2 linked regions of the Arabidopsis thaliana genome follow. The protein of the gene in region 2 interacts with the protein of the main gene of each other region in a pairwise test. Each region holds a gene or a part of one and is shown on either strand. Other genes may lie near its edges. The genes, in order: PAB8 and ERD15.

Region 1 (12,826 bases), on a different chromosome or scaffold from region 2:
TACTCTTGGTAATGGAAGGTTTGTTGTTTTAGAAAGCTAATCAACTTTGTCAAAGTGTACTACAATTTTTTTTGTTTTTTATAAAAATTTCGTTGTTACTCTCTATAATACACTTAACTGTGAAATTCATGAGAGCTCTCAAAAATTAAGTGTATTAACGTCCAAGAGAACTATTTTGAAAAAAAAAAATAACGTACAAATACTTCTTACGCATATAAACAAAATTGAACCTAATTGATTAAGATTTTCGTATTATGCCACCACACCCTGATTTGTCTCTAGCGTATTTAGTTCTCAACGTTCGAATCATTTATGTAACACAGTAAAAAACAAAAAAGAATATTGAACAGTTTAGGCAATTAGAATAACAGTTGTATTATTCAACTTTTATATATGAATTGTTTCTTTACAAAAAAACGTTTAAAAAATATATATTGCATATATTACTAATTTTTTTGTTAACCCTATTAATATTTATTTTCATCGGAAAAAACGGTTTTTACTGAAATCTGTATATAACATTTAAATTCAATGAAATCTGTATGTCTTTTTTTTTCTTTTCGAAAATATGTATGTGTCTTATAATAAGAAATATGTATGTATCTTATAAAAAGAACTCTGTATCTGAAATGAAGAATAATTTAAAAACAAAGAATATTCCAAATTTTAAAATTCGTTACAACGTAACACAAATTTTAGTATCTTTACTAATTAATATTTTATGTGATCTCTCGTTTGAACAATATAAGTTCTTTATCAGAGAAGTTGTTACTCCAATTTTAAAAAGAACAAAAGTTGTAATTATGACCCTTAATTAACTTGTGATTATCTTAACTGTCTAATAAGTATAGGGTGGTAAAAGTGAGCGTTATCTTTATGGTTTTCAGTGCATGTAATCATTGATCGCCAGAGATTTGAAGTGTCTCTTTCTTCTTTCTTTTTCTCGTAAAAACAAACTTTTAAAATTAAATTAAATTGTCTGAATCCGTTCATATTCAATTACGAGTTTTTGAACTTATTCCTTACCTAATGAAAGACTGGATTTTTAATATTTTATTACATACATAAGACAAAACTGGGAATTTTAGAGTTGGGTAACGTGGCAATCATTCACACACCACAATTGAGTCTAATTTTGGATTTTAGCAATGGAAATGGGGAAAAAATCCATGAAGATTAAGTTTTGCTAAATTGTAAAAATTAAAAGCTATTATAAGTAATTTCCCCATTTCTTTTTTCCATTAGAGCCTTCCATGTTCTTTTTATGTTGAGGAAATATGCATGTATGTATTTTATAAAGATACAATATTTATTTATATTATTTTATAAATACATATATTATGTATAAAGATATTAAGAGAAAATAGAATAAATAACACCTTAACGAAAAAAAAAGGAACATCATCAATTTTGCTGATTTTTTTTATTTGTACAACCACTGTTGCTCAGTTTTCTTCTAAGATTTTGAAGACAATGTTTTTTACTTGTAATAATATTTATCTTTTTATTTATCAACTGATGTTACCATTTACCAAAAATAAATCTATAGTACAAAAACATTAAAATATTTGAACAAAACTATATGCATCATATAATTAGTTTGGGAAAAAAATTTTGTTCTAAACGTTACTTGTTTCTTTGAAAAAAAAAAAGAAAAAAAAAATTTGCTCGTTTCTAAATACTGGTAGCAGAATGTCAAAATGATAATGATATTAATTGGGACGATCAGTTCATATATACAAAGGTTTTGTTTTGCCATACATGACTTCAACTGCTCTTCTGCTAAAATGGATAACATGAAAAGCATTTAGGCCCGTATAAGTAATAAGATGATATCATATACAGTAAAAACTCCATAAATTAATAACGTTGGAATAATTCATCTGTTAATTTATAGAAATATTTACGCAAAATATAATATTATATTATTTCTTAATTTTTTTTTTACTTCAATTTTTTTATACTTTGTTGTTTGCATATTTCATTATGTTAAAAAAAAAATTATTTTTCTTTAGATTTTGAGAATCACATTCAAGAATTTGAAGTTATGATTAACAATTTTGGTTATCGAAATAGAATTGATATCAATATCCTACTCGATTATTCGGGTGAAAATAAAGCATGTTTAGAAGTTTATAGTTTAAAAGAAATTATAGCTTTTGTTTGTAATGTTGGTAAAGAAGTTGAAGACGATAATGTAGAATTTTTGGAAATAGTGACACGTAAGGAAGCAATTATCGCATCTACAATTTTTCACAATTTTTGGATGTAGATCGAGAAGACAACACCAAGAGTTTTTGATGTAATAAGAAAATTAGAGATGAACTTCAACGAGATTCGAACTTTTAGAAAAGACAAACAACATTAGACTTATTTTATATTAGATTATTTTAGAATGTATGCTTAAGATTTATGATATTATTGAGACCATATTTTTACATAGAGATTTAAAAATATATATATATATATATATTTTATGATTTTAGTTAATTTTTATATTGGTCCAATTTAGGACTGGCAAAATTAATTAGTTTAAAGAGTTTATTAATTTATCGAATTTCTAGTGTATGTTAGACAATTGCAATTCTAACTCAATTCAAATCAATAGAGGAAAGGAGATGTTAATAGTTTCGACTATACGGCTGTTTCCAACGATTCCCAAGATGCAAAGGAGATTGATCCTCTGCCACCAGGTTTGGTCTTCTTGAATGTAGGAGACAACGAAAGCTTTTTTACAAACAATTTGAAGATAGCGAGGGTTTTGATGTGAACTAGGATAGTTTTAACTACGTGTTATCTGTTGTTAACTTTGACTGGAAACCATCTATAGATGATAAACAGAGCAATGAAGAGCTGCTCAAATTCTCATAGAAACAGCCATCAAAGAACACGATGAAGAATATGGAACAAAACTCGAGTATGTCAATTGTCAAGTATGTGAATGCAAATATTACTACATGCATGGGTCTTATGAATTATGTAACACTTTCGGCTAGAGACCTTATCTCATCAAAACCAAGAGCTTAAACTTTACCAAGCAAAGGCCAAGTTTCGTGATGAGATATAGGTTGTTATGGTCAGGCCAAGGCCAATTCAGTAACTAAGTCGATAAGGTTATTCCAAGGCCCGTTTGATTTCTCCCAGTCTGTTTTCGGAAGCAAGAATAATTTCCTAGAAAAGCCCTGTAAACTTATTGTTACATTGATCATTCGAAGCTTTTAAACCAAATTTTATACCCAAAAGTCGAAACTCTAGACAAAAGCCAAACAATACCCTATCAAATGAGCAGTGTAGGTAAAAAAAGGTGAGAGTAACGATACAAAACTTCCCAAAGTATTAAGAAAATCAAAAACACAGAAGGAAAATGTTAAAACTCTCGCCCAAAACAAAAACTCAAAAATCCAAAACTTTCAAGAACAACTCTGTTTCTGATTCTCCAAAAGAACAAAATAAACACTTTTACAGTGTATATAAACTGAGCTCTTTCAGATATAACTTAGAACTCTCAAGGTACGATGTTGTCTCCAAGAGACAGAGAAGCTAACTGATCAGCTGCACCACCCGCTTGCTGCTGTGCTACACTCCTCAGAACATCCATTGCTTCTGTAACTTTAGCTTTAAGTGCCTCTGGTGATTCCAGCAAGTGAAGTACTTCGGTTTGGTCCATTTCAAGAAGCATTCCCGTGACTTTAGCTGCGGATTCTGGCTCCAGCTGCTCCACAAGCGGGTATAGATTCTCACCAAGCATCTGTATAACGAAGAAACATAACAGGTTTAAGAAAGACACATTTTTCTTAGTTGTTTCCGAGCTGTTAGAAACAAATCATTTGACTTTACCGTTCTCTGTTGCTCTGGAGCTGCATTCGCAAGCCGTGTAGCCAAAGCTACAATAGGAACAGGTTGAGAAGTAGGCGAGTCACGATGATGCACACCACCACCACTTGAGACGTCATATGGAACAGAAAGCATGTTTTGAGTAGGACCAGGCATTGTGTTTACATCTCGCTGAGGATACCGATACATTCGACCTCTTGGATGCATCTGTAGAGAAACAGATTGATGCAAAATGTAAGCATGCTATCGATTTTAAACATGTGGAGAAAGTCTTGGGCCTAAAGCAAAACTTAACCTGCTGCTGCATCATAGGAGAAGGTTGTTGTGGTTGTGGAAGAGCTCCTCTTCTACCACCACCAGGTCGCTGCTGCTGCTGTTGCTGCTGTTGCTGTTGCTGGCCTTGTTGCATCATAGGCATGAAGAAGTTTGGCATTGGAGACCCACCAGGTCTCATACCCGGTACAAGCTGTTGTTGATATCCGAATCCAGGCTGTTCGATACCCAGTTGGAGAAGAAAGTTATAAAGATTGGTCTCAAATGTTTTATGCTTAAAGCTTTGAGCTTTACCTGAGGAATCATAGCAGGAGGCCCTTGACCATAGAAGAGTTGCTGACCCATTGGTGGACCACCTGGTGGATACATTTGCATCCTAGGACCAACCGCAGGTGGCATATTGACCGGCCTCATCTGTGAAAATTGAGCCTAAAATGCCAGAGAGGTCAAATTAAGCACGATAAGCATGGGATTAGGATAATCCTTTTCAAGGATAACAACATGGGTAAATTAACCAGACCTGTAACCTAGCTTTGCGGTCTTCTTTCCGCTGCGCAAGAGCAACATATAGAGGTTTGGTAACGATCATTTTTCCATTCATCTCTGTAATCTGAAACATTGAAAAGAAGACAGTGTTAAGCATCAAGATCCTTCCAGAGAATAGGAGATCACCAAAATTTGACATGTCTTCTTTATATTCTAGTCACTTACAGCTCTAGTTGCTTCCTCAGGAGTTGAAAATGCGACAAATCCAGATCCTCTACTCACTCCACTGGGGTCACGCATCACCTGTCACGTTCAAATGTAATACATTTTAATGCAAATCTGCTGAAGATAGTAACAAGCAGCGCTTTTTATTGTATCAGTCACGGACCTTGCATGATGTAATAGTTCCAAAGGGAGCAAAATGTTCTCTGAGCTTATCATCTGTGACGCTCTCATCCAAGTTCTTAACATATAAGTTCGACCCCTGAGACTTGTCTGCAGCCTCCTTCAAACTTTGCTCAAACTTTTGTTTGAGTTCAGTTTCCCTCTCGGACTTCTTTTGGGCCTTCCCAACAAACCACTCCTTGTCGTCAAAGGTCTTTCCATTTAGAGCGTCAACAGCTCTGGCTGCATCATCAGAATTCTCAAAATTGACAAATCCAAAGCCTTTAGACTTTCCTTCACCATCTCTCATGATAACACAACTAGTAGTCACTCCGAACTCTCCAAAAACTTTGTTAAGCTCTTCATCACTCAAGGACTCGGAGAGATTTTTGACATAAACATTAGTGAACTTAACTTTCTCACCCGAAGGATCTCTCTGCAGCTTGTGAACAAAGGGTCCAACATAAACTTGCTTATCGTTAAGAAGCATTCCATTCAGTTTATCAATGGCTCCCTGAGCTGCTTCATCAGTGTCGTACTGCACAAACCCATAGCCTTTCGACTGACCAGAGGGATCAACGGCCACTTTGCAAGATAGAATGGGACCAAAGGCTGAAAATGTCTCGTGAAGTGCTTTGTGATCAATTGATTTGTCAAGATTCTGAGACACAGATAATAAACCATGTCAATAAACAAACAAACTTTGAGATAGGATATTAAACAAGCCAAGGTTTCTTTCCATCTCTGCATAGAAGTTCAAACTTGGACAATAGGAAAAAGAGATTTAATATATGTACCTTAATAAATATATTACCAACTCCGCTCTTACGGAGACTTGGATCACGAACAGAATACATAACTCTTATAGCCCTTCCATTAAGAGCCATGAAATTCAGCTCATTCAGTGCCCTGGAAGCTGTCACCAATCAGAAATATTAACATCAACATAACTCAAATCATTCATTTCTGTAAGAAGAATAACATTGAGTCTACTCATAACATTGAGGTCATAACTCTAACTCTATGACCTCAAAAGAAAACTATCCTCCCTAACAGCCAAATACCCTGAAAGCCCACAATGTTACCAAATGTAACCACTTTCCAAATTAACCTGAAAGCTTTCACCTTTTTTATAGAAAGCTCCCAAATTTAGATTAGCATTTGATATAACACATCAGTCCATACCCCAAATTCAGATGAGCTACAACGACTAAGTTACCAAATCAGATAAGCCTTAAGAAAGTTACCATCTTGAGGAGTTGCATAGTTAACGTAGCCATAGCCTAGAGATCTCCGAGTCGTCATGTCTCTGCAGACACGGACAGAAACCACCTGACCCGCTTGGGTAAACGCCTCAAACAGCTGTGAATCCGTCACGGTCGCATCCAGATCACCGACATATAAAGACGTCGTCCCTTGCTGCGCAGCTCCGGCAGCCGCCGCCGCAGCTCCAGCCGCAGCCGCCGCAGCTTCAGCCGCAGCAGCACCGGGAACAGCTACACCACCATTGGCATTTTGACCCTGATGCTGAATCTGAGCCATTTTTCGAGATATCAATCCGAATTACCTATCTATCTATCTTCTTCTCCTCTCCAAATCAGCTCAAATCAAAAGATAAAGCAGAGATTTTTAGGAGATGAATCCTCAACGCCGGAGAATAAAAATTGAGTCTTTGAATCGGAAGAAGGAAGGAAAATGGGGAAGTAACCGACGGCGAGAGTTGCAGCGTTGAGCTTAGATAAAAGGGTCAGAGGAAGTGACCTTATCAGAGAGAAGCTCAAATGAAAAAAAACTGCAAAGAGGAAAGACAACTTGGAGGTTTCAGTGTTTATATATGGAAGGTTTCACCAAACCCTAAAAGCTTTGATGGTAATTTGAGAAATCTCAGCCGTTGGATTTACACTGTAGTGTGTCTTGTTGTGGGTCACACACTTGTATAAAATATGCGTTGGGAAATATCTTACCATTTTATTTTATTTTATTGGGCAAAAGTATTTGTGCTCAAAAATATATAACCGTATTCAGACTAATGAGGAGTAATTACTAATGAGATTAGAAAAACAAGAATCAGTGTAAGTGTAGTGATGTTTTATTTAAGAAAATTTGTTAAAATTATTAGTATGTACTGTAGTAAATTTTCTGCAAGGTAAATTAGAAAGTGAAGTGATTTTTGTATAAAAAGGATAAAATATGAAATAGCTGTAGTAACTGTCAAAAAAAAATATGTTCGTTCAGACATATTTAATTATTATTAGTAAATACCATTGAATGACCATGCAAATTTATGAAAATAGCTAAGAAGTTGTAAAGTTTTTGATTAATTTGCAAAAAATATAAAATGGTGCTCTTTTTCTAAAAGAACACATAAAATTTTAAATAACATGCAGTTATCTAACAATTTGGTTATCTATCTCTCCACATACATGTGAATATGTGATGTAATGCATGAAACTAAAAACATGGGGGACTTTTTAAAAAACCTTTTCTAGCTTGCGTTATGAGAAAAGTTTTAAGAAGTTTCGAAATCGTTATGTTGCAACTTCATACCTCAGTCAAGGATAATAGAGGCTAAAGATAGTAGATAATTAAAAATGGGCCAACAAATCTTGTGAACCAGTTTCTTGATGTCTTGGAAAATTATGGACCGAAATTCTAGCCTGTATTGGGCCCAATCTTGCATAATTTAAAATTAGTCGATCGAACATAACTCTTTTTGCCTTTCTAACTGTTTTTAGTATCTCTTCAGCGTGAAATGTGTAATAACAATATCATCTCTTCTATTTTCAGTCAGAAGAAATTGAAACATGGTATACCGAAATCAGTTTATGCTAATTCAGAAGGTAAATTTTTTTAACAGATTGGTAACGACCGTTATTTTTGGCTTTAGAAGGTTTGACTTTAAAAATTTGAGGTACAAAGAATTTAGCTGTAAAGACTTTGGCTGTTAAAATCAGATTGGTAAAACAAAGTTGTAGAAGCTGTGACTGTTATTTTTTATTAGTAACAATAAAACTTTATTACTGATTTTTAAAAATATATATTATTCATTCATTTTTAAAAGACCAAACATTGCATTATTTATATTTATTGTTTCATGCACTTAATATCCAAACACTTAATATCCAAACACATTAATAATTAAAATACTCATCTTGAATGATTCTTATGGCTAAATTTTTTTCTCAAAACTGTTTTGAATGATTTTTTTGACTTATCATAAAATCAACAAATTTATTAATGATAATGAAATGACATCTAACTTTATTAGTGTTGATGATAAAAAATAAAATTATTATTAGTGAAATGGATCTTAAAAAAAAATTAGTAACTTGATAATAATTATTAATCAAAAACGTTTTGAAAAAAGAAATATGTAATTTGTAGAGAACTTTTAATTATGTTTAGAGAAGAAAACGAAAAGCTTTTAATTTGTTTTAAAAGCCTCATTTACGTGACTTTCAAAAAGAAAAATAAAGGAAAAAGAAAAAAAAAAGCTTTAAAAACTTCCAAAAAAAATAAAGTGAAAAAAGTCTGATTGGCAAAAAAAATACTACAAAGGCTTTAAAATCCATTTGAAGCCGTGAAAGCAGTGAAGCCGTGACCCTATGAGGTTATGTCAATGTTGTGATAATGTTGTCTATTTTCTTTCTCTATAAAGTGATAGTTATCATTAGTTGAAGAATGCTAGGATGTTATGTAAATAAGAAAGTTAAGCAATGTTTTCAGTAAATTTCTTTTAGCACAAATTTACTATTTTTAAGTGATGTCTAATCCAATTTCTTTCCAAGTTCAATTTTCTTTCTCTGCCCATATCTTTACAAACCATTATTTTTCGGGGTGAAACTAGTTTTGAGAACAAGTTCGAACAAATGGTTGAAACTTGAGTTGCTTTACGGTATAGTCAAATCATTTGAAAAAACCATGTTATTAATTTGGAATTCCGACTTTCTAGTCATACAAAAAAAACAATAAATGAAATACGAGAAAAGTAGTGAGTGAGAAAAGTGAAAATATAATATTCATACCTCTTGTTTCATATAACGTTCTACCAATCCTCTTGTTCCTGCATATTAAAAGTAACTCATATCAGAGGAGACATGTTGTATCAAACAACAAGCAACAACAGATAAACATTTATCTTTTTTTTTAGTTTCTTTTTTTAAAACCAAGTTGACTATGTTTTAGAGCATCTTCAATGGTGAGTTTTTAATATTAATTAATCAAAAATAATAATAGAAAAGGCAAGAGAATAAGAATGGTTCTTATTTTAAAGTATATAAAATCTTATTTAAAATCCCAAATACCACATATCTTAGTATAATGTCTTAATATGATTTGTTCATTTTTATTTATCACTTAAAATTTAGTTAAATAACAAAATTATATTTAAATAATATTATAATATTGATAAGAGACACTTGGTGAATATTTCACCATTAGAGATGCTCTTTCTTGTTTGTTGTTACAAAATAATACACCCATCCCCAACTATCCTTGAAAAATCACTGATGTTCTCTAATGAACGTTCTCACAAAAAGGTAAATCATCCGTAAATGGCCAAAAACTCCACACTGATAATCATTATTGATAAACTTTTGCTCCGTTCAATTCTCTTTTCTAAATATGTTATATTATATATTAGTATTTATTTATTAGGAGGTTTTGTCGGCAACAAAAAAATAGACAACTCTCGTAAATAACAAAAATAAGTTTTCTTATCAAATTTAGCACACAATCTTCAAACTTCCAAAAATAACATGAAATTAATATTAAAAAGACTAATATAAGCATTTGATTGATAATTCACACGATTTGTGATTTAAAATCATAATTAATTTTATATATTTAGATAAAAATAAATTAGTTATTATGTAAAATTACTAATGCTAATTTTGGAAATTTGTGAAGTTTGTGTTATAATTGTCCATAATAAATTTTTTCATGTTATTTTAAAGTATTTCTCTATAAAAAGTAAAGGTTGGGCCAGGTAAATGTACTTATTGGACTCAATAAACAACTCAAAGATGATTAAATTCATATATTTTACTATGAAATATGTTTTACTATAAAAAACAGCTCAAAATGCTACATTTCATTATTCCTTTCTCCATTTCATTTTTAAAATTCATACTACTCATAAAAGTTCATAGTATGACTATAAGTTTATGACTAGTTTAACTTTCAACTATCTAGCTTTCATATGATTCCCTAGTTCAAAGTTATACTACTCATAAATTTAGATACTCATACTATGAAATTTTTATATAGCAAAAAAAAAATTACATCTCAGTTTGATATCAATAACTAAACATACCTATGTAAAAACTTACATAGTCTACTACCCAAAATATCAATAATTATTGTAGCTCCCACTACCCAAAAGACAATGTCCATTGACTTCACAAGCTTCTTAGTCTTCTCTATTTCTATGCTCTAAAATCTCCTTATATACATAGTCCCCATACTTATCCTCAAAACTCACCACAAAATCTCATCAACTCAATGGCTTCAATTCTCTCAATTCTTCTTCTCATTCTTTCACTTTCAAATCTCCACTTCACTTCAACCACCGGAAACAACCACATTAACGACAGAAAATCCTTAGAAATCATTATCGGTGGTGGTAACGACAACAATCCTCCACCGTCACCTTCACCGGAACCAGAACCAGAACCTGCAGATTGCCCTCCTCCCCCTCCTCCTCCTCCATGCCCTCCTCCACCTTCTCCCCCTCCATGCCCTCCTCCACCCTCTCCTCCTCCAAGCCCTCCTCCTCCACAGCTTCCACCTCCTCCACAGCTTCCGCCGCCTGCACCGCCTAAACCCCAGCCATCGCCGCCAACACCTGATCTACCGTTTGCGAGCTCATTATTAAAGAAAGTCTATCCAGTTCTCCAAAGATTTAAGGATCTAGTCGCAGATGATAAACTTAAGTCTTGGGAAGGCCCCGACATTTGCAACAAATACCTCGGACTCAAATGCGCCATTTTCCCGAAAACAAAGCATCTCGCACTCGCGAGCGTCCAGTTTAATGGGTTAAACTTGAGAGGCAAGATAGGCAAGATCCTCAAGTTAGATAACTTCCTCGACAAGTTAGAAGAAGTCACCATCTTCCACGCAAACTCCAACGGTTTCACAGGCTCTGTGCCTGATTTCAGCAATTTGAAATTCTTATACGAGCTCGATCTAAGCAACAACAAACTCACAGGAGATTTCCCAACTAGTGTCTTGAAAGGAAACAATCTCACGTTTCTTGATCTCAGGTTCAATTCTTTCTCAGGCTCTGTTCCTCCTCAGGTCTTTAATCTCGACCTCGACGTCTTGTTCATCAACAACAACAATCTTGTTCAGAAGCTTCCACTCAATCTTGGATCCATCACTGCTCTTTACCTCACCTTCGCCAACAACAGGTTAGTTTCTCAACTAGTTGATCTAGTCAGAGGTGCAAGAATAGAGAGAGTGTGGTTGAATGTGTGATTATTGAGTAGCTAGATTATTATTTTTAATATTTGTTGTGATGTGACTTAGGTTCACGGGTCCAATTCCCGAAAGCATAGGCAACATCAAGTACCTACAAGAAGTCCTTTTCCTGAATAACAAGTTAACCGGATGCTTACCGTACCAAATCGGAAACCTAACCCGAGCCACTGTTTTCGATGTTGGGTTCAACCAATTAACCGGTCCAATACCGTACTCTTTCGGTTGCTTAGAAACGATGGAACAACTCAATTTAGCCGGAAACAAGTTCTATGGAACCATACCGGAGATTGTATGCGAGATTGCTTGTCTCCAAAACGTTTCTCTCTCGAATAATTACTTCACTCAGGTTGGTCCGAAATGTAGAAAACTCATCAAGAGAAAAATTATGGACGTTAGTATGAATTGTATACTTGATCTTCCAAACCAGAAAACGCCATCGGAGTGTGCTAAGTTCTTCATGCGGAAACAGACTTGTCCTAATTCCAAGTCTTTGTTTACTGTCCCTTGTGATAAGAATCCAAACCGGGGTAAACCGGATCAAGAACGATTGGAGGAGGAAAAAGCTCAAGTTTCTCATCCGGTAACTTACAACACACTTAACCCGGACCGGCTTCGGAATCTATAACCTTGGCCGTTTTTTCTTATCAAGTAACGATATATATATATATATATATATAGCCAAAGCCAAGTTGTTTATAATTTGAGGTGTCTAATGCAATATAAGTGAATAAATGTATTGTAGTTGTGTACTTTCGGATCATCACTATATGTATTTTCATTGATGTATAATCCATCCTTCTGTTTTTTCTTTGTACATCTTGCTTTGTGTGAATCACTGTAAAATTGTTCATCCAATGGTGGATATCATCGATCAGATCATCGATCAGAATGTATCCACTCTTGCACGCACCATTGACTAATCCAAAGGTTTGGTATGGCATAAAATAAACATCTTCTTTTTAAAAAAACTTTTAAAAGCAATGGACGACAATTTCACCCAATACTCTAAATTTAGAATTTACAAACTTGGTTAATATATACACAGTAGTCCAGCCAAAAAAAAAAAGGGTGGGAGTGTAAGTGGAGCTAAGCAAAAATAGACATGACATTACCAATTGTCACAAACCATCAACATCTAACATGAAGCTGTGTTTTTATAATATGTTTTGGAGCTTCTTAAATGGATCTACTCAAGTTATGTGGTTCCTTTTGTGACCTTGGGTTTGCAATGTTGTTATCTCTAATATTTGGCAACTAGTGTAAAAAGAAATATGGAACCATGTGTATTATTGTAAATAAAGGGCACAACACTTGACATCATTTTTCTTTTCATTTGTTCTTTTGTCATTAAATACACTTTGTTATTTAG
Region 2 (10,427 bases):
AAAATAAGATATACAGAGAGATCAAAGTCCATACAAGATACATACCACTGCTTCGTGATCTCGTTCGTGTGGCCTTTGTTCATCATACCTAGAAAGAGTTTGCAAACACAGAAGAAAGTCAGGGCTTTGGTTTAAACTGTTGTTTAGGTGATTACAAGCATAGTTATGTTGCAGAAAAAAGAGATATTAATATGAGATCCAAATAATTCTACCAAACCCAACAGTAATAGCTCTAGCCCAGAAAAACGAAACGATGAATCAAAAATTGCAGAACCAGATCTTGCGATGGCTAGGGTATGTAACTCATAACCAACGTGTTCTACATCTCAATAACCTAATTAAGAACTATTTCAACAACAAAACCCTATAAAATAGAACCCTTTCCGCAAGAAGCGAAGCTAATAATAATAATTGATTCAGCGAGTTTACCTAATGATGCCGCTAGAGAATCCGCAATAATCGCAGAGCTCTCTCACCTTCTTCTTCGTCAAATCTCTTCGCCTCCCTTTCAACTTCATCTTAATCCTTCCTCTCCCCATTCTCGAGATTTCTAATCGGATCGAAGGAAACCCAAAGTTAATATCTGATAGAAAGCAAAAGCAATTTCTTGTTATCCAAGGCAAACCTTATTTTTAACCCAAAAAAAAATAAAAAAATTCCCCAAATTGTAATGGAAAACGGAAAAAGTTACATTACACTTACTTCCTTTTTCTGTTTTTTACATTTGTTTCGAAATATATATATATATATATATATGTTTTCCATCTTATTGTTAGTTTTCCATATTATTTTAAATATTATCAATAAATATTTAAATAAATTTATATCTTAAAATTTATATCTTATTGTTAGTTTTCTATTTTAGTTAAGAAAATTAAAAATTAACTATATAAATTAATAATTGTAAATATGTTTTTTTTTTAGTTTCCTTTATTTTATTTAAGGAAAAAAGTAAAAAAAAAAACTCTAACACATGTCAAAATCTTAAATTGATAAAACTGTCACGTGTCATAATTTGGTGAGTTAGTAACTTTTAAAACCGTACATTATATAATAAGATATATATATATATAATGTATTTTTATCAATGTTTTTAAATCCGAGCGTGACGGTAAACCAGATTATTTTCTGATTCACATAATCAACCTTGCTGGACCACATATCAATTGATTATAATTTATTTAATATACTTAATATTTATAAAGATTATATAGCTTCTATAAATAGAAAAACAACAAATAATCATATAATGTTTAACAAAAACATGAAATCAAACAATAATAATAAAGTGATTAAATTTTTTAATTCTAACTATAAGTTTAAAACCATAACAAATATAGTAAAAAATCACCAATGACAAAAATAAACTAAGAAAACATCGCGAATCCAAACAAATAATTTTGGTTGTCTCTCTCATAATTCCATTCATTCTCTTAAGGTGATATTGTGAAGTCTTCACCAAAAAAAAAAACATCAAATGAGTTTAAAAACTGAAATTTTTTCTAAAGATAACTGAATAAGTTTAGATGGTTCAACCGGTTCATTGGGGTTGCGGATCAATGGTGAATTTTTATGATTTTTTTTTTTTTTTTGAATTTGTCGGATATTAGCACTAAAACTAAATCGGAAAAATGTTTGGGTCGTAGGTTAACTGGTCGGATCGAATGATCTGGGTCAAGCTTGAAAACAATGGTTTTTATTAATCAGAAATGCGGTAAAAAGAAACGTAATCCCTTATTAACTAGAATAACATACGGATTAATTTATCTAGTTTATAGAGTAATCGATCGTCATGTGTTAGAGAATCTCTTACAAATAAAAGAAGCTCATTGATGCTCTATGAAACCCACAAGTCCTAACATGGTGAGATATGAAACCCCTCGAGTCTTAAAACAACATCTTACCTTGGTAATAAATTAAACTCTAATTGGTATTTCTAAGTTTACAATCCAAGATGCGTAGACTTCAAGACTAAGACAAATAAAGTGGCAAGTTGATATGTCAACATAGAAACAGAGAAAGCAGCAACCAGGGCAGATAAGGTCAATCGGAAGTCACTCGACTCTGGCAGACCGACCTGGTCTCCGGCATGCTCTTCCGCTGATAAGAATTATGGAATCTTCTGAGCTTTCTTGAAACGAGAAGAAGTCTACATTGCAAGGAAGAGTCAGCATCCTTGTCATTATCCGACGAACATCTCCCGGGCTCAGCTAACCCAGAGACTGATTCCTTGTCGGTGTGGCAAACAAGCTAAGAAAATGTGTGAATAGAAGAAACGATTCAGATACACTAGTTACTAAAAACATATAATATACACTGATAGATAAATTTTTACCTCTCCGCGCTGCCATGCCCTATGTTCTTGTCTTGGTCCCAACTTTTGGTCAATCAAAGCCCGTAGAGCTCGTAATATCTGAATGTGAAGTATGGACAGGTCGAAGGAAGTCATACCCTCGAGCTCTCTACCATTCATTCTCCTGTGAGATGAAAGAAAACCCAAAATGAAAGAAAAGAAAAAAAGAAACAGAGACTTCTGCAGAGCAAGAAGTGGGAAATGGTATTGAGTTATTACTCGTTAAAAAGCCATAATTTGTCGAACTCGCTCTGCAAGGATTCAGAGCTGCGTTGCTCGAATTCCCTCTGCATTTGCAGCTGCAAGAAAATGAGGATTTTAAAGACACAGTCTGAGGAAAGAAAAGAGATAAGGAAGAGAAGAGAATATACGCGCACCAGTGGTGCTTCACCATTTGGATCTTCCTGTCTTTCTCCCAAGCTGTATTATATATATGCAGAACAAGTCAAGTCAGCCTTTCCTTTTACACAATTGGTTTCGATGATCAAAAAGCAAGACATCATAACGTGATATGCTGCACCAAGACAGCTACAACTTTGAAAAGAAGAACAAAAAAAAACAAGTGATCTCCCTCAGATTCTGAGAGATGAAGGATTCAACTCCCACTGTTGAGTCCAATAGTAGCTAATAAGGACGAAACTACAACTGATTTTGGTTTATATAGCTCATAAAAAAAAAAAAAAAGGGCAGGTTTCATATACACTCACTTCGACAGAAAGAAACCCTAGAAAAAAAATGGTTCCCATTTGCACAGACACACAAATTGTTGTGACCAAACCCAACAAAAAATAACTCAATTCTTTAGCAGAGAGATTACCTGCTGGCAGAGAATTTGCAAGGAACCAAAACCCCTCTCCTCATACCGTCAGCATCATGCTCTGCTTCCTTCTTCTGCAAAATCGAAGGGGATTGTGATATATGTCAGATACGTAATTACCCGAGAAGACAGAAAAAAGAAAGAAAGAAGTAAAAGGTGAGAAAGCTTAAGAACTTGCAAGGTCAACAAGGAACTTTAAGAAGAAAAAAAGGAGAGGCAAAAGCAATGGCCTTGTGAGAGATTTTAGACTGGAAAGGGTAAAACTGACTTTCCTCAACAAAAAAAATTTGGATACAGGGCAAAAAAAAAGAAGACAGCTAAATTAAGAATTAGAATACTTTACCTGTTTGTGCGGCCTTTCAGCTTCTTCCAGCTCTACCTCCTTCTGCAATAGCCAATAGTTAAAGAAAATTCTTGATAATAACGACACGGAAACAAAAAAAAAAAGTCAAGTAATATTTCCCCCTATTTCACCTTTTGCTCCAGCACAATGGATCGGACATCCATAAGGTGACTTTGAAGAGCTAGCAGCTCGGTGAAGCTGACAATATCTTCCTTCCCAGTCATTCTCCTGGAATCATGAAAGAAAACTCATCAACCAAAATGAATATGCAGAACAAGAAAGTGGGAAACGCACGCAGGCATACTTGATCAAAAGCCGTAATCTCTCGACTTCTTTCCGCAGCTGCAAGGAGAGAAGTTGAATGTAAGCAAAAACACAGGTATAACATACAAAGAGATAGATATATGAGTACATAAGTAATTACATACCACTGCTTCATTGTCTTGCTCCTGCAGCTTATCTTCAGAGCTGCATCCATATCTGGAAAAAGGCCAAGGGGTTTAGGTTTAAGTTTATTGTCTGATTCAATCATATCCTCAGATTCAGATTCAGATTCCGAGATCCAACTAAGCCGAGTAAATAGCTAATCAATAAACCTAATAAGCAGATTTTGTGATGGTTCCCATATCCTAAATTACTTCAAAGACCTAAATCAACAATGAAAACCCTAGAAAATCGAACCCTTGTTTGCCATCTGTGAGCCAAGTACCTGCTGCTGGAGAATTCGCAGAAATTGCAGGGCCCTCTCGTCTTGTTCGTTAGATCTCTTCGCTTCCTCTTCATCTGATCGCCCTCTCTCCCCATCGAATCGGATCGACCGAAACCCAATTTTTCTTTTTTTCCACTTTGGAAATTGCGAGGATTGTTGTTACATGTATAGACGGAGTTTTTTGCCAAAAAAAAAAAAAAAGTACAGACGGAGTTTTTTTGGTCCAATATTATGGAAAATTTCCTAAAGTAATTTAGGGAAATTGAGTTGTTTGACCACAAAAAGAAAAATTATGGACATTGAGTTTGTTACACATTTTGCTAGTAGCCGCATAACATCAATAGATGAAATTGAATTAGATAATCAAATCATAGAGCCCAAAATGACTAACAACCAAATTAGAGTGGAAAAAAAACAGAACCGCAAGAACCCAAATTCTAGACGAACCTGAGATTTTGACTGTGTAGTTTCTGGGAAATTTGATTTGAATGCTTTTGGGTCCGGATTCACAGGTGAAATTCTTACCATCCACTGCAACCTCGTAATCACCTGGAGAAATCGAATCAAAACACACGAAGATTCATTTGATTGATCGGAGTTTTCTGAATAAAATCAAGGGCTTTCCGAGTTCTTACCGATAGAGTACAGAGAAGACTGCATCGGCGATGCTCTCTTTGGCGCCATTGTAATAATTCAGAGCGGGATTTCAAATAATTTACTTTTCAGAAAACTGGAAAAAAAAACGAAACGTCGAGTGTATAAATAAGTTTATCAGAGGGTATTTTCGTATTAACATAGGTGTCTTAAAGCTCTGTTCTAGCCAAAGCGCTGCGTTTTGGAGCGTTTCTGATCGTCTGACTAATCATTTGTTCGAATGTCAAATCGACGACTTGTGGAGTCAAAAAAACAAAGCTTCAAGAGTCAAGACGAGAGTTTTCGCATCAAACGAAAGAAAAGTCTCATTTTCCCCATTTTTGATGGGGAATTTACTAAGTCCGGTTTAAATTTGGACATGTCTTCGGTATCTCAATTCCGAGCTCGAAATGAACTTGGTGTCGTCGGCAATGTTTGCAAGTTAAAACATGTTCGACACTCCTGACCTTTTGCGTGTATTAGCATTATGATGTAATCGACATCCTTTTCTTAGCCACCAACCTTGTAGAGTTCTAGTCTTTAGAGAACTGATCATTTTCAGTAGCTGAGACGTGAAAACCTTCTATATTTGAGCTCTGCGATGGCTTTCTTTTGGTCGTAAAGCCAAAGCAACATTGATGCAACTGCTTCCGGTAGCCATCACCGATGCAGGATAAGACTTTTGGTAATTGAATAGAATTGCTCAGACAAAGGTAGGAAATAAACTCTAGTTCTCATTTCTCTTCAAAGTTTACATTTTTTTTTTTTTATGTTTTTACATTTTTGTGATAGCAAGTTTGAGAATGAACATCATAAAGATACAAAGTTACAGATTTTTGTTGTGGAAGCAAATACTAAAAATTACAAAGGTACAGTGGTGGCTAAAGATACACAGACCGAACTGCTCTGACTTCTCTGACTAGTTAACAACATATCTCTTCAGCGAGGCTGGTGGATGTTTCTCGGAGCAGCAGCAACCCTCTGGTTTCCCCATTTCGCTGGCTTTTCCGCATACTTAGCTGGTTCCACAATCGATCTCGGGCTCCTGTTTCCACTTGATTTCTTAACCATCTCACCATTCTTTCCAAAGCCTGATGATATATATAAACAACAATTAGCCTCCACAAATCTACTGATCTTGGATGGTTCTATGTATCAGGGGAATGAAACCGACTTACCAAATTCGGAAGGTGCTTGGTAATACATTCTTCCATCGAATCCTTGATCAAACTCAGCAGCATCAGTGTCAAAGAAATCTTCCATATCATCAAAATCAAATGATTCTGGAAGAAGATCAGCTACATCGATATGACCTCCACCATTCTCATTCTCTCCGTTGTCATAGAAACCATCCGCGCCTTGCTGCTGCTGACTGATCCAGTAATCAGGGTACCAAGTCGAAGTTGTCACCAATTGCCACCACTCCGGTGAGAAATCTTCCACTTGTCGTACAGCTGCCGGAATAAAAAGAGGTGCGTCGGGGTTTAGAGTAGATCGTCTTCCTGATACCATCGCCATTCTCAAAACTCTAGATCTGCACACACAAACAAACAAGCTCAGTTCAAATTCAAATTCAAATCTAACAACTCAATCACAACATAGCTTAATCCTTAGATCAATAGATCTGTACGATCAGTAAACATAGCAACAATAAGTTTCCGATTAGATCACTTGAAGTAGGACAAGTACAAGTTTGAAATCGAGAGAACTGAAGATAAATCAAGTTTTAAGATAGATCAACAACCATCACAGAGATCTAATACCATGGAAACCAATCAAATCCTTCAAAATCCACGAACTTCAAATATAGAAATTGATCGAGTAGAGAAGAAGACAACATCAGATCTTTACCTTGGCCGAGGAAAATATCTGCTGCAACTTGCTCAAGTTGATCAAGTTGATAAATATGTCTTCTTATTTTTTTAAAAGCTAAACGGATTAGGATCATTCACCAGAACCTACGTTGCGAGAAGATGAGAAGAAGAAGGACTAATATATAAAGTAAGGTTCGGTGACGAAGCTGGGGTTCGTAACGTCGAGGCAGGATTAAAGGTGAGACACAAGTGGGTAGGTCTGGACCCATAGCTAACATGGTTCTGAGTAATCAACCGTCCACGTGTAGACGCGTTACTGTTGGCTTTTATTGACTTTCTTTTTCGTTCCAATCCTGTTGGCTACTCACACTAAAAAGTTAAATTATTATTCTTTCTATAAAATATCTTAAATTTGGTCGGAAAGAGGATAAGGTAGGAGGAAACTAATCCAATATAAGCCCATTTATGACCGTATGGGCCTAACCCACTCATGATTTTGTTTTACATCATCATTTTGGGCCTAATCCTAGAATCTACTTTTGGTACTTACGTTTTCGGTATTGTATCGTGTAAGTACCAAAAGTAGATTCTAGGATTTACGTAATGTCTGAGATGTGCATTTTTATAGGACATCAAGTTTGAAAAGCTAACCAATGACAATGAAGAACCAAATTCTAAGGTAATCTATACAAGGACACCAAGATCATTAAGGTGTCGAACAACTAGGATTATCGAAATGAACATACATAATTTTCTGCTTCATTGTTATGTTGCAAAACGGAATGACTGATCATATTTTCTTCTTTGCATCAACCACTTACGGTCAGTTTTAGAATAGCAGTGGCAAAACTAGTAGATGAAGTAGCTCAAAGAGAACGATGTGTAATTGGCGGGAAGGAAAATGTTGTAGTGAAGTCCAGGCCATTGCTACTTTCACAATGTGATTCAGCAAGCCTTTTCAAGAGATTGGAAACCTTAAAATGTATATATGTACATGAATATCTCCTCTTTTTTAGTATACATTGGAAGTAGGTAAGTGGGGTTTAGAATGTAGACACTTTTACTTTATCTATTGTGTACATCTATTTATCATATGTTGTAATGTGTCTTAAGTCAATCGACTCGATAAAACAAAATGAATTTCTATATTCTAAGGAAATTTGAAGTAAGATACAAAAAGAAATTAAGCATCACTAGATTTCATACAGAACATTAGAAAAAACAACAGAATAAACAACCAATCAATAATCTTTGTTCTCCAATTAATTAAGTTCTATTAAACAAAAAAAAAACAGAAATAATATCGCTGCAAAAGGCAGAAACCGCGTGAATCTTGTTTTAATTTAACCTTTTTTATTGGTAGTTTCATTTTAATTCATCGTATTGAACGCTAGCCTAAAGTTATGGATAAAAACAAGAAAAATCAAATAACTGCAAAACGCGTTATACTTAAAACACTCTCCTCTTTTCCTTGTCCTTCTCTATCGCTTCTATAAACTTTTTCGATCTAAGGTTCGTGATCTCCTTCTTCTCTACGAAGTTTACACTTTTTCTTCAAAGGAAACAATGAGCCAGTACAATCAACCTCCCGTTGGTGTTCCTCCTCCTCAAGGTCCTCTTTCCTTCTATTTTCGATTACTTTTAGAAGTTTCGGTTTTTAGATTTGTAATTTTTTCTTAGATCTGCTTAATTTGGTACTGATTATTGTTTTTGTACGACGGATCTGAATTTTGTTTGTGCTGAAATTGTATCAATAGGTTATCCACCGGAGGGATATCCAAAAGATGCTTATCCACCACAAGGATATCCTCCTCAGGGATATCCTCAGCAAGGCTATCCACCTCAGGGATATCCTCAACAAGGTTATCCTCAGCAAGGATATCCTCCACCGTACGCGCCTCAATATCCTCCACCACCGCAGCATCAGCAACAACAGAGCAGTCCTGGCTTTCTAGAAGGATGGTTAGTCAATAAACACACTCCATTATATTTAATCTGTTTTTACTAATTAGATTTTGTGTATAGTTTGAATTTGACTATATTCCTTATTTTAAATATTTCTTCTAGAGATTCTTTGAACAAAAGGTCATGTGGTTTTAGCTAGAATATTCCTCTGTAGAGGTTGACTTTTTGTGATCTCTGTTCATTCACTGATCACAGGACAATTGTTGTTGTGTTTAATGAATTTGCATCTTTTAGGATTTAACATGTTTGCATGATCTAGCTACTGGTTACTACAACATTGCATGCTTTAAAGAAACTAGAATTGTGATTGTGTTCTTGTCGTTATTGGTTTGGTAGTGTTTAACTGTTTATGAGTACTTGAAACTATACTTGTACAAGTTTTGATAAGTAAATTGGCTTAGCAAGATGGATCCTTTTTGTGTTCTCTGTTCCTTCACTGAATACAGGATAATTGTTGTTCTTTGATGGCTTTACTTAACAGTGTGAATCGGATGTTGTTTTTGATGAATGTGCATCTTTTAGGATTTGATTGTTTGCATGATCTAGCTACTGCTTACTACATTGCATGTCTTAAAGCAACTGGATTTGTTTTTAATACTGATTGTGAAATGTAAACACTGTTTTTGCTTTTGCAGTCTTGCTGCTCTGTGTTGTTGCTGTCTCTTGGATGCTTGCTTCTGATTGGAGTCTCTCTCTCTCTGCATAAAGCTTCGGGATTTATTTGTAAGAGGGTTTTGGTTAAACAAAAACCTTAATTGATTTGTGGGGCATTAAAAATGAATCTCTCGATGATTCTCTTTCGTTTTATGTGTAATGTTCTTCGGTTCATAACATTTTAACTATTGTCTATCGACGTTCTGCCTTAGTTTGTATTTGATTATGGGAATGTAAATTGGTTGGGAGACACTATTCTATGCCATAGTTTATTGCTTGGATCTTAAAATCTTTGTGTTCATAATTCGTATGGTCACATCTCAATGATCCAGTTTTCGTCCATCTATTATTGATTCTTTCAATAGACAAGTATTAGGTTTGATATTGAACGTCATTGAAAGAAATAATTTCGTTCTCTTGGGATTTTCACGAAATGTATGGTCTTCTATCCACATGGGTTGGTTTCCATTATTGATGTTAGGTCATGGTTTTAATCTGGGAGAATAATATGTTAGGTAATGGTTCTTTTGTCAATAAGAAGGATTTCGTACACTTTTATTATCATGGAATAAACTAATCACGAAATCATGCACAGAAAGAAAAGTATATTTCATTACCAATATTGCGTCAAAATCATGCGTCTGCTCATTCTATTACAAATTTACAACTATAGAAGTATCAATGGCAGAGATCTATCAAAATCCCAACAACATAACATCCAAAACAGTTAAGACTAAAGAAACGTAGAAGCATCAGTCGACCCACACCGCTTTGTTTCGTCGTTGACATAAAGAATCAAACCACTTTGGTTCTTTTCTGCGACAACAATCGCCTTCTCTTTCTTAAATGCATATGTCGTCGAAACTGATTGAACACAAGGCTTGGTCTTCTCGACACACTCTACTCGACTTGGCTTCGGATAATAGAAATCCGTTGGGAAAAAATTGAACTGAAGAAGACCCGACATTGAATTTTGTAGATCAAATCGAAACTCATACAACTTTGTCTTTGTGAATGTGTATATAAAAATGTTTATGTTCCTTTAGGTTCAGAGTGATTTTGGACATTGAAGTTTCTTGGGCTCTACGAGTTTTGCTTGAGGAAAAAGTCTAGGTTGGTTAGGGTTTGAAAGGTCTTTA

The links.
Region 1: the proteins of ERD15 (region 2) and PAB8 interact in a two-hybrid assay, tested with the Arabidopsis thaliana proteins (one large-scale study listed by BioGRID).

Annotation. Positions count from the first base shown.
Region 1 is NC_003070.9:18,410,433-18,423,258, reverse strand, and holds PAB8 (poly(A) binding protein 8), read right to left. Parts: upstream 6,785-12,826; 5' UTR 6,520-6,784; coding exon 6,225-6,519; intron 5,894-6,224; coding exon 5,775-5,893; intron 5,639-5,774; coding exon 4,982-5,638; intron 4,897-4,981; coding exon 4,819-4,896; intron 4,718-4,818; coding exon 4,628-4,717; intron 4,537-4,627; coding exon 4,402-4,536; intron 4,325-4,401; coding exon 4,130-4,324; intron 4,042-4,129; coding exon 3,838-4,041; intron 3,749-3,837; coding exon 3,506-3,748; 3' UTR 3,148-3,505; downstream 1-3,147. Other genes in the region: AT1G49750 (Leucine-rich repeat (LRR) family protein), read left to right, coding at 10,480-11,387, 11,506-12,082. UniProt on the Arabidopsis thaliana protein: Binds the poly(A) tail of mRNA. Appears to be an important mediator of the multiple roles of the poly(A) tail in mRNA biogenesis, stability and translation.
Region 2 is NC_003071.7:17,265,682-17,276,108, reverse strand, and holds ERD15 (dehydration-induced protein (ERD15)), read right to left. Parts: upstream 6,952-10,427; 5' UTR 6,707-6,951; exon of another isoform or gene 6,390-6,706; 5' UTR 6,374-6,389; coding exon 6,034-6,373; coding exon of another isoform or gene 6,011-6,033; exon of another isoform or gene 5,947-6,010; coding exon 5,795-5,946; 3' UTR 5,567-5,794; downstream 1-5,566. Other genes in the region: AT2G41445 (agamous-like MADS-box protein), read right to left, coding at 46-88, 430-539; AT2G41440 (agamous-like MADS-box protein), read right to left, coding at 2,044-2,250, 2,336-2,477, 2,573-2,652, 2,731-2,773, 3,171-3,244, 3,514-3,555, 3,645-3,741, 3,818-3,855 and 2 more; WIH2 (proline-rich family protein), read left to right, coding at 8,236-8,281, 8,427-8,631, 9,270-9,315. UniProt on the Arabidopsis thaliana protein: Central component of stress responses that interacts with poly(A)-binding proteins. Negative regulator of abscisic acid (ABA) responses, including resistance to drought and freezing as well as stomatal closure regulation.